3 linked regions of the Chlamydomonas reinhardtii genome follow. The protein of the gene in region 3 binds, or shares a complex with, the protein of the main gene of each other region. Links are inferred from orthologs where the notes say so. Each region holds a gene or a part of one and is shown on either strand. Other genes may lie near its edges.

Evidence for each region.
Region 1: CHLRE_03g164101v5 (region 3) and CHLRE_06g251300v5 share a complex: the UniProt entries of both Arabidopsis thaliana proteins name them as parts of the heptameric LSM1-LSM7 complex. The link is inferred for Chlamydomonas reinhardtii from reciprocal best matches to the Arabidopsis thaliana genes EMB2816 and emb1644.
Region 2: CHLRE_03g164101v5 (region 3) and CHLRE_10g441950v5 share a complex: the UniProt entries of both Arabidopsis thaliana proteins name them as parts of the heptameric LSM1-LSM7 complex. The link is inferred for Chlamydomonas reinhardtii from reciprocal best matches to the Arabidopsis thaliana genes EMB2816 and LSM2.

Annotation. Positions count from the first base shown.
Region 1 is NC_057009.1:320,315-324,058, reverse strand, and holds the start of CHLRE_06g251300v5 (uncharacterized protein), read left to right. Parts: upstream 1-1,194; 5' UTR 1,195-1,448; coding exon 1,449-1,493; intron 1,494-1,572; coding exon 1,573-1,671; intron 1,672-1,947; coding exon 1,948-2,025; intron 2,026-2,277; coding exon 2,278-2,317; intron 2,318-2,602; coding exon 2,603-2,722; intron 2,723-3,006; coding exon 3,007-3,029; 3' UTR 3,030-3,744. UniProt on the Arabidopsis thaliana protein: Component of LSM protein complexes, which are involved in RNA processing. Component of the cytoplasmic LSM1-LSM7 complex which is involved in mRNA degradation by promoting decapping and leading to accurate 5'-3' mRNA decay.
Region 2 is NC_057013.1:3,152,992-3,156,361, forward strand, and holds CHLRE_10g441950v5 (uncharacterized protein), read right to left. Parts: upstream 2,365-3,370; 5' UTR 2,227-2,364; coding exon 2,185-2,226; intron 2,090-2,184; coding exon 1,970-2,089; intron 1,423-1,969; coding exon 1,372-1,422; intron 1,107-1,371; coding exon 1,038-1,106; 3' UTR 539-1,037; downstream 1-538. Other genes in the region: CHLRE_10g441900v5 (uncharacterized protein), read left to right, coding at 1-82, 281-514; CHLRE_10g442000v5 (uncharacterized protein), read left to right, coding at 2,596-2,762, 2,852-2,919, 3,100-3,248. UniProt on the Arabidopsis thaliana protein: Component of LSM protein complexes, which are involved in RNA processing. Component of the cytoplasmic LSM1-LSM7 complex which is involved in mRNA degradation by promoting decapping and leading to accurate 5'-3' mRNA decay.
Region 3 is NC_057006.1:3,033,828-3,037,473, reverse strand, and holds CHLRE_03g164101v5 (uncharacterized protein), read left to right. Parts: upstream 1-918; 5' UTR 919-973; coding exon 974-1,061; intron 1,062-1,137; coding exon 1,138-1,209; intron 1,210-1,334; coding exon 1,335-1,387; intron 1,388-1,501; coding exon 1,502-1,618; 3' UTR 1,619-2,753; coding exon of another isoform or gene 2,754-2,904; 3' UTR 2,905-3,014; downstream 3,015-3,646. Other genes in the region: CHLRE_03g164150v5 (uncharacterized protein), read right to left, coding at 1-111, 293-700; CHLRE_03g164050v5 (uncharacterized protein), read right to left, coding at 2,754-2,904, 3,055-3,212, 3,413-3,574. UniProt on the Arabidopsis thaliana protein: Component of LSM protein complexes, which are involved in RNA processing. Component of the cytoplasmic LSM1-LSM7 complex which is involved in mRNA degradation by promoting decapping and leading to accurate 5'-3' mRNA decay.

The DNA.
Region 1 (3,744 bases), on a different chromosome or scaffold from region 3:
GGCGCATGGACATGGGTACGTTGCCTGATTACACCCTCAAAGTATTCGACCGTGCGGCGTTGTGGTTGGTTCAAGTGCCGCCAGCGTTGGGCCACCTGGGACGTAGTGTCAGCCTGGGGGTCGCGGTACTTTAGGGTACTTTGCAATTCTGGGGGCGGTCACAGACATGCGCCACGTGTAGGGTTTCCTCGCGCTGATGGGATGTGGTGCCTGGTGGCCACCCATCCTCGCGCGTGGGACGGGTCATTGTATGCTGCTTGTGGTACCTGACGTAAATGCTGCCCCGCCGCCCCCCGCCCCCGCCCTCCATCGCTGGAGGGCGACTGTGTCGCCCGACCTCTGGCTGGTTGTGCCTTTCTGCATGGTCCTGTGCGGAAGAGTGTTCTGGGTTGGACCCTTTTTTTCCTGGATTTTCAGGGCCTGGCGGCCGCGGCTGCGGCACAGGACCGGCAGCGGCGGAGGCAGCGGCCCTGCGCCCAGCAGTGGCGGCGTGCATGCGTGCAACATAGAGGGCAGGCAAGGCCACGCACGTGGAGGCGAGCGCGGCGCCGCCCGAGAAGCGGTGCCGGCGCGCAGGTTGAGATTGCCGGTGTCTGGTTTGCGGTCTTTGCTGGCGAACATAGCGTGGCACGGCGTGTGACGGGATTCATTACTGATTGGTTTTGTTGCCGGCTGTGCTTGTGCTTGACAGTGGGACGCGGCTGGACACATGGCGGGCGGTGCCTGTATAAACCGAGCCCGGCTTCGGGAAATTTGCTGAATGTGATGCGTCAAGCGTGCAGCGTGATGCATGTGAACAAACGTGTTGTCCCCCCAAGAGGCAATGCTGACTCTGAGCAGCATCCTCCCTGGAGCGATGGACGCCGTTCTCCGCGGCAGGTCGCTATTTGATGCGAGTGAGGGACTGAGGGGTTTGGTATCAGGCAGGGGGAAACGTGTTCAGCACGAGGGGCAGACACCTCCCTTGCTTGCCTGTACCGCAGGGGTGCTCTGCCGCTACCCTCGCTTACGAGCTGGCCACAGCGCACATCCCTTTCATTATGCGGGTGTGCAGCAGAAATTCATCCATGGGCAGGGCCGAAGGTCATCACGACATAATAGGCACGCCCAGGCGCGCCCTATGCCCCCCCCGACCTGCCCCGACCTGCCCCTCTGTGTGCCTGATGCAAGCACGGAAAGCAAATCCTCTGGAGACCGGCTGTGGCACCCCAAAGCTTTAAACACCCACAGTATATAAAACTGCGTTGTACAGCTTCTCTGAAACACAAAGCCAACTCGCGCGACTCAAAAATTGCTTGGCGACTGACTACATTAAACCAAGTCAAACCCCACACGTCCAGGCTCCTGGTAGCTTGTAAGGAATCATCTATTCCATCCTCACAAGACGCGCGTAGTGCTTGGGTTCGGGGCGCATCGTGCGCAGGATCTCGGGTGCTGCTCTCGGAGCCATGCTGCCCCTTTCGTTGCTAAAGACGGCTCAGCGCCATGGGGTGGTGAGTAATATCTGGACTCAGGACCTTGCCACCTGCGCGAGCTGCTGACCATGCGGGCCAACTTCGGTCCTTCTCGCAGCTTGTGGAGTTAAAAAATGGAGAGACGTACAACGGTTATCTCCAGCACTGCGACACATGGATGAACCTGCACCTGTCGGAGGTCATTTGCACGTCCAAGGTGGGTTTGCAGGGCTCCGGACGGCGGCCCCGGGGCAACCAGGCCACCCCGCGCCGCTGTGCGCCACGCCGCTGTGGACCCACAAGCTCCATATGGGCTTGTTACCGGCGGCAGGACCATTCTGGCGGCCTGGAGATCCAATGCAGCATAAGGGCGCCTGCACGCAGGCAGCGGGAGGGGCGGCGGAGAGTTGCGGTCGGAGGCGCAACGCCCGTGTGGAGCTTGCCGTATCCGGCTGAGTTCTATTGATACTGGCACATATGCGCGCGTACACAGGATGGGCAGCGGTTCTTTAAGATGCCCGAGGCCTACATCCGTGGCAACACCATCAAGTACATCAGCGTGCCCGAGGAGGTGAGGCGGGGTGGGTTGTCTTCACCACACCGTAAGCCTGCACTTGTGACGGTGTGCTAAGGGGCCGAGTTAAGGAGGGCAACTTGGGGGGATGATGGGGCGTGGGCTCGTGAACGTGGGCTTGAGGACAGGTGCACGTGTGCGCCGTGCAGTGGTGCCCTGCCGCAGATGGTGGCGCAACCGACTGCCGTATACCCGTGCTTTGCACTGGCCTGCTGTTAACCACCACTTGTATCCCGGCGGGTGTGGCAGGTGGTGGACAAGGTACAGGAGGAGAACTTGAGACGCGACGGTGAGGACCTGGGCAAAGGGGGACACGCTTTACAGGGAAGGGGCCCAAGGGGCAAGCGCTGGGCACTGGGTAGGGCGGGGTGGCGCGGGGCGGGGCGAGGCGGGGCGGGGCGGGGCGGCCCGGCGGGGTGTGGGGCCGGCGTGCCCTCCAGTACAGTCCAGTACAGGGCATGGTTCTCATGGTGCCACGGGGCAGTCTGCCTGCCGGCAGCTCCAGCTGTGGCTGCAGCACTTGTACCGCACCTGCACTGACTCGCCCACCATGTGTCGGTTGCGCTCACCTCAGAGAAGCGGCCCACAGTGGCCGGCCGCGGTCGTGGCGGCCGCAGCTGGTCGGGAGGCCGCGGCGAGGGCGGTGGGGGCCGCGGCGAGGGCGGCGGCCGTGGCCGTGGCGAGGCAGGACGCGGTGAGTTGGTTGTAGGGGTGCGGGCTGGTGCGAACTGCCATGGATCTGGATCAGCCATGTTATGGCATCAGGCACGTCTGGATGCAGCCGTGGCCTGGCGTGCCAGCCTGCGCGCCACCCCAAGGCGTTGGCCCACCTTCCTTTGCGGCAACACCTGCGCTCCCTGGGATTTGGCATGGCTCGTGTGTGTGGATACATGAGGACGCGGTGCTGGTGGTCTGGCTTAGGTGGCATACGCGCACTGCATCAAGAGCTGACCGCCCGGATACGGTGTGGTGCCGCAGGGCGTGGGCGCGGGCGCAGCTGAGCAGCGCGGCAGCGGACTGCTGTCCCGAAGGCCGTGGACGTGGTGGCGGACTCGGGCGGAAGCGAAGCGACTGCGGCGCCGGCGAGCCCGGCGCGGGGGCGGGCGTCAGCACGCGGGGCAGACAATGGAACGTGATTTGTTTGCATGGCTGCTTGCCGGCACCGGATTGTGAATGGTGATTGAGAGCTGAGGTGGTAGTAGCCAGCCTTGCTTGCCGCTATCCATGTGCGGTATGCATGTAAGTGCGGCGTGGGGCGGCCAGCTCCCTAATGATGGGGAGGTCGTGGGGGCGCCGCGGGCCAGCAGGGCATGTCTGGGGTCTGTGGCTCCGCCCACGCGGGCTGACTGGCTTGACTGGATTGTGGGGCCTGGATTGTGGGGAGGCTGTGGGTTGCCCAGCGCTGGCCGAGCAAACTGTACGTCGTTGCGGGGTGTTGTTATCGCACCGCGGTCACCGCTCTGGTGGACGCCCTGGCAAACGTAATGAAGAGCCAGATCGAAGTGTGTGGGCTACGTCTTAGATACAGAGGCATTGCGGCTGGTGCACGAGCGGGCTAGTCACGGCCAGTCACGCACGTAGGGCCGTAGGGGGCAACTTGGATAGTGAAGTTGCCCCTGCAGGTTGGCTTGGCCAGTGTGGGTCCTGGCCTTCTGGGCCCCACCCAAACGGGCATGTGTGTACATGTGCCCGCACAGCAGCGCCAGACAGCGCATT
Region 2 (3,370 bases), on a different chromosome or scaffold from region 3:
CGTGGCGCTGGACGACGCGCTGGCGTCACTGTATGATAACGTGCACATGAAGGCGGAGCTGGCGGTGGTGGACGAGCGCATGGTGCGTGGCGCGGTGTGGCGTGGCTGGCTGACAGGACGTAGTTGGGTTCCATCCTTCGGTGTTTGCTGTTGCAGCCTTGCAGAGCCCCCTGCGTGCGATGCGACCAGTGGCGTTCTTCGACCCTTACAACCCTCTTGTAACAAATGCGATCTACCCGCTCCGTGGTCAACGCTGCGCTCCCTTTGCCTGGACACGCAGGCCACGGCGGTGCAGCAGGCGCGCGCTCGTGCCATGGAGGACGCCAGCGCCGTGCGCAAGGAACTGCAGGACCAGCTCAACATGGAGGAGAGCAAGGCCTTACAGGTGAGGGCGCGCTGCCCCAAACTTGGGCACTACCGTATCTTCCTCGTTACTGCCCATCCAGATACTGGGCATCACACTCCGACCGCATCACCCATCCGCGCATGCAGCTCCACAGCACGGTACTACTAAAATACCGGGAGCCGCAAGTGCACGCCCCTCTAGACTGGTGGTTTCTGCTTTCATGTCGTTGCTCGTTCCTGAGCACCACTGTCGCCATGCGTCACCAACCCTAACAGGCCGAGGCGCGCTGCCAGGCCGCTGAGCAGGAAATCCAGACGTGCAAGGCCAGCATCCAATCACTCAAGCGGGAAGTGGCCGAGCTCCAACGAGCCAACACAGATATCAAAAACCAGCTCCTACTCAAATCCAGCTGGGGCGGGGGAGCCGCCGCCCCGAAAGCTGACGCATGAGCTTCCCTCAACGCCAGCTGCGCTTGCGCCGTCGGCAACGCGCGTTAAGTACTGCTTGTGTACCGTCATATTGTGGGCGTGCCACAATGGCACTCGCGCAGGCAACTATTGAGTCCTGTCACCACTTGCGTCAGTCCGTCAGAAGTCATTATGTCCTAGGGCATAAGGCACACAGCATGTGGCTGTGGCCTAAACCCGAGGCCACCCTAGCGGCATCCAACGTTACAAAGCTGCACTTGTTTTTAACCACCGCGAGCCTCGCGCCGCGTGGCGTCGTGAAGCACCTCCACGTCCACGGCCCCGGGTGGTAGCTGTAAGAGCAAGGCAGTCAGGGTGTGTGGGTAGCTTAGGAACACGTACACGATTGTGTGTGTGGAATTGTGGAGTGATTCCCGCTCCAGGTGCTAAGCGGTAGGCGTGGTGAATGCGCCCTAATGGCCAAGCACATATGCTTCTGTAACATTTGTGCAAATGTGCGGCACGCTAGGCCACTTGCTTTCATGAGCAGGGCAGCAACAGCGTCAGCACCATGCCGCGTGATGTGCAACGTTTCCTTTGTCATGCCACCCCACTCACGTGGACGTAACGCACGACGGAGCCACGAATGAAGCAGTTGCGCACAGACATCTGCAAGGATGGGGAAAGGGAGCAACTGAATGTGAAGGAGTCGACATCATTTGCCAGCGCCGCATGCCCGCAATGGGCTCTCACCAGCCCAGAGTGTTACACCAGGAATTCCCGGCTGTAACAGCATCAATATAATAAAGGCCCCAACTTCCATCCACGCCTCACCCCGGGGCCACCATAAAAGACCTCCAGGCCGACTCGCTGTACCAGTGTGCTGCCCCAAGATACGGTTCACAACATTCCCCGACTGTCACTGTTACGCCACGCTGTTACGCCCGGCCTTGTCAAGAGGACGCCAAGGCAACCTGTGGACATCTATACCCTCTCTGCCATCAGCCGCCATCACCTGTCGTGGCTGCCAGTTTAACCGCGCTCGGCCCTGCTGATTCATGCTTCTGAGTCGCTACCCGCCACGCCGCGCACCAACCGAAGTACCCAGCACGTGTTCTCATCCACCTCACCCTGCCTCTGCCGCTAGCGCCTTTCCCCCTGACCTCAACTTGGTTCCCCCGGCAACGTTGATCGCCCCCGACTGCGCCAGCCTCACCATGTGCGGGTACTTCTGCTCGTTGTGCACGCGCGTGTTGGTGAGCTTAATGTTCAGGTACTGGTCCACGCTGTGCAGCGCGCCGCTAATACACAAGTCATTCTTGAGCTCCACCGTCACCTGAGCAGTTCCAGAATGCCACCAGTCAGCTATCCTGCTGCGGCAAGCGCTGCCGCAGTGCACAGAGTCCTTAGGCTAGTCCGCATGGCGCGCACCTCCTTGCCCACCAACGTCTTGAACAGTGAGAAGAATAACATGGTACTGCTACTTAAGCTTCAACACCAGTGCTATGATCTAGAGCTCCGAAAGCACAGCGCTGAACGCAGCAATCTGAACCGGCAAAGGACAGGCCGCTAACAGATACAGAACGAGGCAGTGGAGAGACTAGTAGATAGGATGCACCTGAAGGACAGCGAAGGGCGAGAGGATTTTAGGCAGCACCGATGCAGCCCAATCCCAGCTGACACGAAACCCTCTCCAAACGCCACGATTCAATGTTTAAGCAGTGTCTACACTCTTAAAACCTTTGGATTTAGCTGACGGGCAAAGCAACGCGTGAAAAACCTGTCGCCGGCTAACTGTCTTTGGCGCTGAGTCGCCCGTTGGTGTAAGAACAATTTGCAGCCATGGCGGACACGGTACAATACCTAATGGAACAAATGATTCCGGAGCTGGAGGACCTAGAGCAAAAAGGCTATTTTACGCGCGCGGAGGTTAAGAAAATAGTCCAGAAGCGACAAAACTTTGAGTACCTTCTAAAACGGAGAGCGGCGCTCAAGGAGGACTATTACAGGTGCGTCTCGAGTGAGCGCCGACCGTGCATGCGCCGCCGGTCTTTCCTTGAATAGGCGCCAATTGGCTGGCATCTGGTTATAAAATTAGGTACGTCGACTTCGAAATGAAGCTGGAGGAGCTGCGACAGGCGCGGAAGGCGAAGAAGCACATCAAAGGTGCGAGAAGCGGGGAGGCGGGGTTCTGCACGGGGTTCTGGGTTTCGGCACGCGCACAGTCCGAAAGTACCGTCCACGCCCGCGGGCGTATTAAAGTTGCCTTAGGTGACAACTATTTGGGAGCTTCAGGAGTTCCTCTGCCGAACAGACTTGAGGGGGCGCATGTGCTGTGCTCTGCAGGGAAGAAGGGTCTGGCGGAGGTGGCGATCGTGCGGCGCATCCACTTCATCTTCGAGCGCGCTGGGCGCAAGTTCCGCAGCGACCTGAGCCTGTGGCTGCGGTGGATTGAGGTCTGCAAGCGGTACAAGAGCATAAAGCAGCTGTCCAAGGTGTGCTGAAGCAGTTTGCGCGCATGTTCGGTCCGGGTGATTTGCGCGCCTGTGAAAAGGATGCGGGCCAGGGCCCGGAAGGCCGGGCTAGCCATTCAGAACAAGCCGTGCTCAGCCATGAA
Region 3 (3,646 bases):
GGCGTCGATGAGGCCGCTGTCCGGCACCAGCAGCCCGCCCAGCACCTTGAGCAGCGTGCTCTTGCCGCAGCCGTTGGGGCCCAGCAGCATGTGTAGCGAGCCGCGCCGCACCTGCCCGGGCGAGGATTGGGTGCCGCTAATGCAGTGTTGCGGGCTGGCAAGGGAAGGTATTGGGTGCGGTAGGAATGGTCGGAGGAGCTACGGTGTGTGGCCGTGGTGATCTCTCGCGCCCTGACTAGGGAAAGACGACCAACCCGGCTGGCCGACTCCCCAGCCGCCGCATGGTCCGTACCTGCAGGTCCACGCCGTTGAGCACGGGCCGCTTGACGTCTCGTGAGCCCAGCTTTAGCCGCAGGTTATGCACGATGACGGAGTTCGGGCTGGAGGTGCGGCGCACGGCGGACTTCGTGAGGATGGCTGGGGGCACTGTGATGCCGCCGGCTGGACTGCTGGCGCGGCCGGAGTTGTTACTGCCGGTGCTGGTGGTGCCGGTGCTGCTGCTACTGGTGCTGGCGATGCAGCTAGTGCGGCTGCGATGGCAGGATGAACTATATGGCGCTGGGTCCAGTGCGAGGTGGGAGCTGCTAGTGGAAGGGGCGCTGTCGGCGGGGCAACGTGGGGTGTGCGGCGCCGCTGTTCGCCGCTCGCCCGACGCCACCCGGCTGAGTCCCAGCGCCCCCCTTAACCCCCCTGCAAGCATTGCTGCCAGCGCTTGACCTAATAGCAGCGGTGAAGACACAAGCAAAGGTTGGGTGCAATTTGGGACAACAGACCCACGCCTTGAGGGCGGGTATGAACAATTTGCAAGTGAGTGACAGTAACAAATTACATGGAAAGTCAATGCATACTAGGAAAGCCGCACGGATGCATGGAGCAGCGCAGGCGCGAAATGCAATCCTTCGCACACGCCTTCGTCCACCAGCCTGTTTGATTTTCTAAACTTTCAACTTCATTACATTTCAGTAACATAACCATGGCAGGAAAGGCCAAGGAGTCGGCGGTCGACCTCGCCAAGTTTATTGACAAGGGCGTTCGCGTCAAGCTTGCTGGTGGACGGGAAGGTGCGAGGAACACATATCGCCAACCCAGTAAGACGCTCGGTGCGCTCTCGCTCAACTTTCGACAACTTGCGCGCAGTGCAAGGGATCTTGAAGGGCTACGACCAGCTGCTGAACCTGGTGATCGATGAGGCTGTGGAGTACCTCCGAGGTAGGGCAGGACTGCCGTGGGTGCGACAGGTTCGGAGCCCGGGGACTACGCGGGGTGTCGGTACGCGGGCGTGACGCACACGCACCCACCCATCTGCTTGCCGCCGTCTCTCCCTTCGTGCGCAGACCCGGAAGACCCGCTCACGGTGACCGATGAGACCCGGTCACTAGGGCTGCTGGTGAGTACTTCGCCTTCGGCGTAGCAAGCGCAGGGGTGCAGACTATCGCCGTGAACTTGAGAGAGTGGCGTTTCCTTGACCCTGAGTTGCTGACCCGCCCTCCACGTGATGCAGGTGTGCCGCGGCACTGCAGTGATGCTGGTTGCGCCGTCCGCGGGCATGGAGGAGATTGCCAACCCCTTCCTCCAGGCGAAAGACGGCGAGCAGGCGGCAGAGGGCGACGATGAATAGATTAGGTGTTACATCTCTCTGGAGATACTGAAACTCAATCCCAACACTTCGACTTACGGACTTTGGTTAGGATAGGTAGAGTACAGACATGACTTCGTCCTGCTTCTTAGCGCCAAGCGCTTTCTGGAGACGTGCTAAGCACACACTGGTACTGCTTTCATAGGCCTTCCTGCGCACGCAGACGGTTCTAGACACTTGTTACCACTCTCTCATTTGGCCAACCCGACCGCAACTATCTAGGATCTCTCGCCACGGCGTCTACAATCTAGCCAGCACTGTCTCAGCGGACCTGAGCTACCCTAGGGCTCATCCGGCGGCGGAATGCGGAGCAACTACTGCCGCCGGACGTCCACTGTACACGACGACTGTCGCCGTGTGGACCGGCAGGGCCGTCGCTTGGAGCAGTGCTCGGGCCAACACAGCCCGCCACAGCAGCTCCAGCTTCGCCTTGACCCGTCTTCTGCCCCACCTCAGGGGCGGCGGAGGCGGGACTTTGTACTGCACCGCCGCTCTCTCGCGGCGGCCTCCTGGCGGCTCCGCACAGCCATGGGGTTTCCCGGTGTCATCAGTTGGCTCAGGACATGAGCGTCGAACCAGTTGGTCTAGCAGGTGGTGGTGGTGGTGGTCAGTCAGTATTATTCGTCCTCAGCCCAGCTTTCTAGCTTGTAGGTATCAGGCAAAGCCGGGCTGCTCAGCAGTCGTCGCCGTCGGCTGGGATGGGCAGCTGATCGCCGGGGCTGACCACGTCGAGCGTGCGCCGCGCGGCGCTCTGCCACTCCTCGCCGTCGTCATCGATGCGATGGCTGGCGGCGACGCTTCCCATCTTGGACGCAGGGCTGGCGTTGGAGTAGCGGCTGTGAGGGGGAGTCGAAGGGCGTGGGAAGGGGTCAATGACGGAACGTGGAGGAGCCGGATTTGGAGTGGGCACTGGCGCTCATGTTAAAGGCTCTCGTGTCCGGGCTGGCATGGCATTGCTTGGGTCAATGGTGGCCGAGTCACCCGAGTGCGCTGCAAGACGCGGGGCGCATGGTTGTCTCGCTTGGTGTGCATGGCTAAGACCAATGAAGGAAACAACGCTGCATAAGTATGGGCGAAAGTACTGATTACACACATGTACCGCAAGGCTGCTCAGTGCTCACCTGGTGGACATGCGCGGGGACTCGGCGGGCGACTCCGTGATGCGCAGCGATAGCGAGCCAGGTGTGGCGCCCATGCCGCTGGGGCCGTTGCGGGAGCCGGACACGTTGCTGGTGGCCCAGTTGGGCGACATGTGGTCGCTGCGGGTCCTGTGGGTTGCAGCAAGGACGGCCGTTGTGTATGGCGACAGGCGGATGTGGTTGAAAGGTTTGCCGCAGGAAAGGCGGCCGCGGCGCCTCAAGGCGCAAAGGACATTAATGCTGAGAGGTACTGTGTGGTCGCACGCCCACTGCTCTTACATGATGAGCGAGGAGCGGGCCGAGTCGGGCGGGTTGCGCGCGAAGCGGATGAGGCGCGTCACGTCCGCCATGGCGTGGTCCAGCCGCTCCGACTTGGTCTTCCAGTTCTCAATCTCGCGCTGCGCCGTGTCCAGCTGCTGCTTCACCGACTCGTGCTTCTGCGCTCACAACCAACCAATAGCCCGCAGCGGGTACAGCTACACTCAGCAAGACGCACAGTAAGGCAGGATCGCGCTGGCCGGCACACCCGTAGCCAGCTAGCCCTCCATAGCACATGCCACATCCACGCGCAGCCAATCCTCCCCAAACCACGCACCCCCGCCGCATGGCCCCAGCGCCGAGCGCCACATGCACGCACCTTGCTGAGCTCGTTGTAGCGGTCGCTCTGCTTGTTGAGGCGCTCAGTCATGCCGGCGATGGCCACCTGTTGCGAGGCCACCAGTTGCTCCTGATTGGCCTTGCTGCTGGACAGCTCGCGCCTGGCCTGCTCCAGACCCGACTGCAGCCGGTCGATCTCGCCCTGAGATGGGGCACCACCGGGGCCAACGAGTTGGGTTGTGTTGCAAGCATAAGTGTGCCGGCAGTCGTTGTA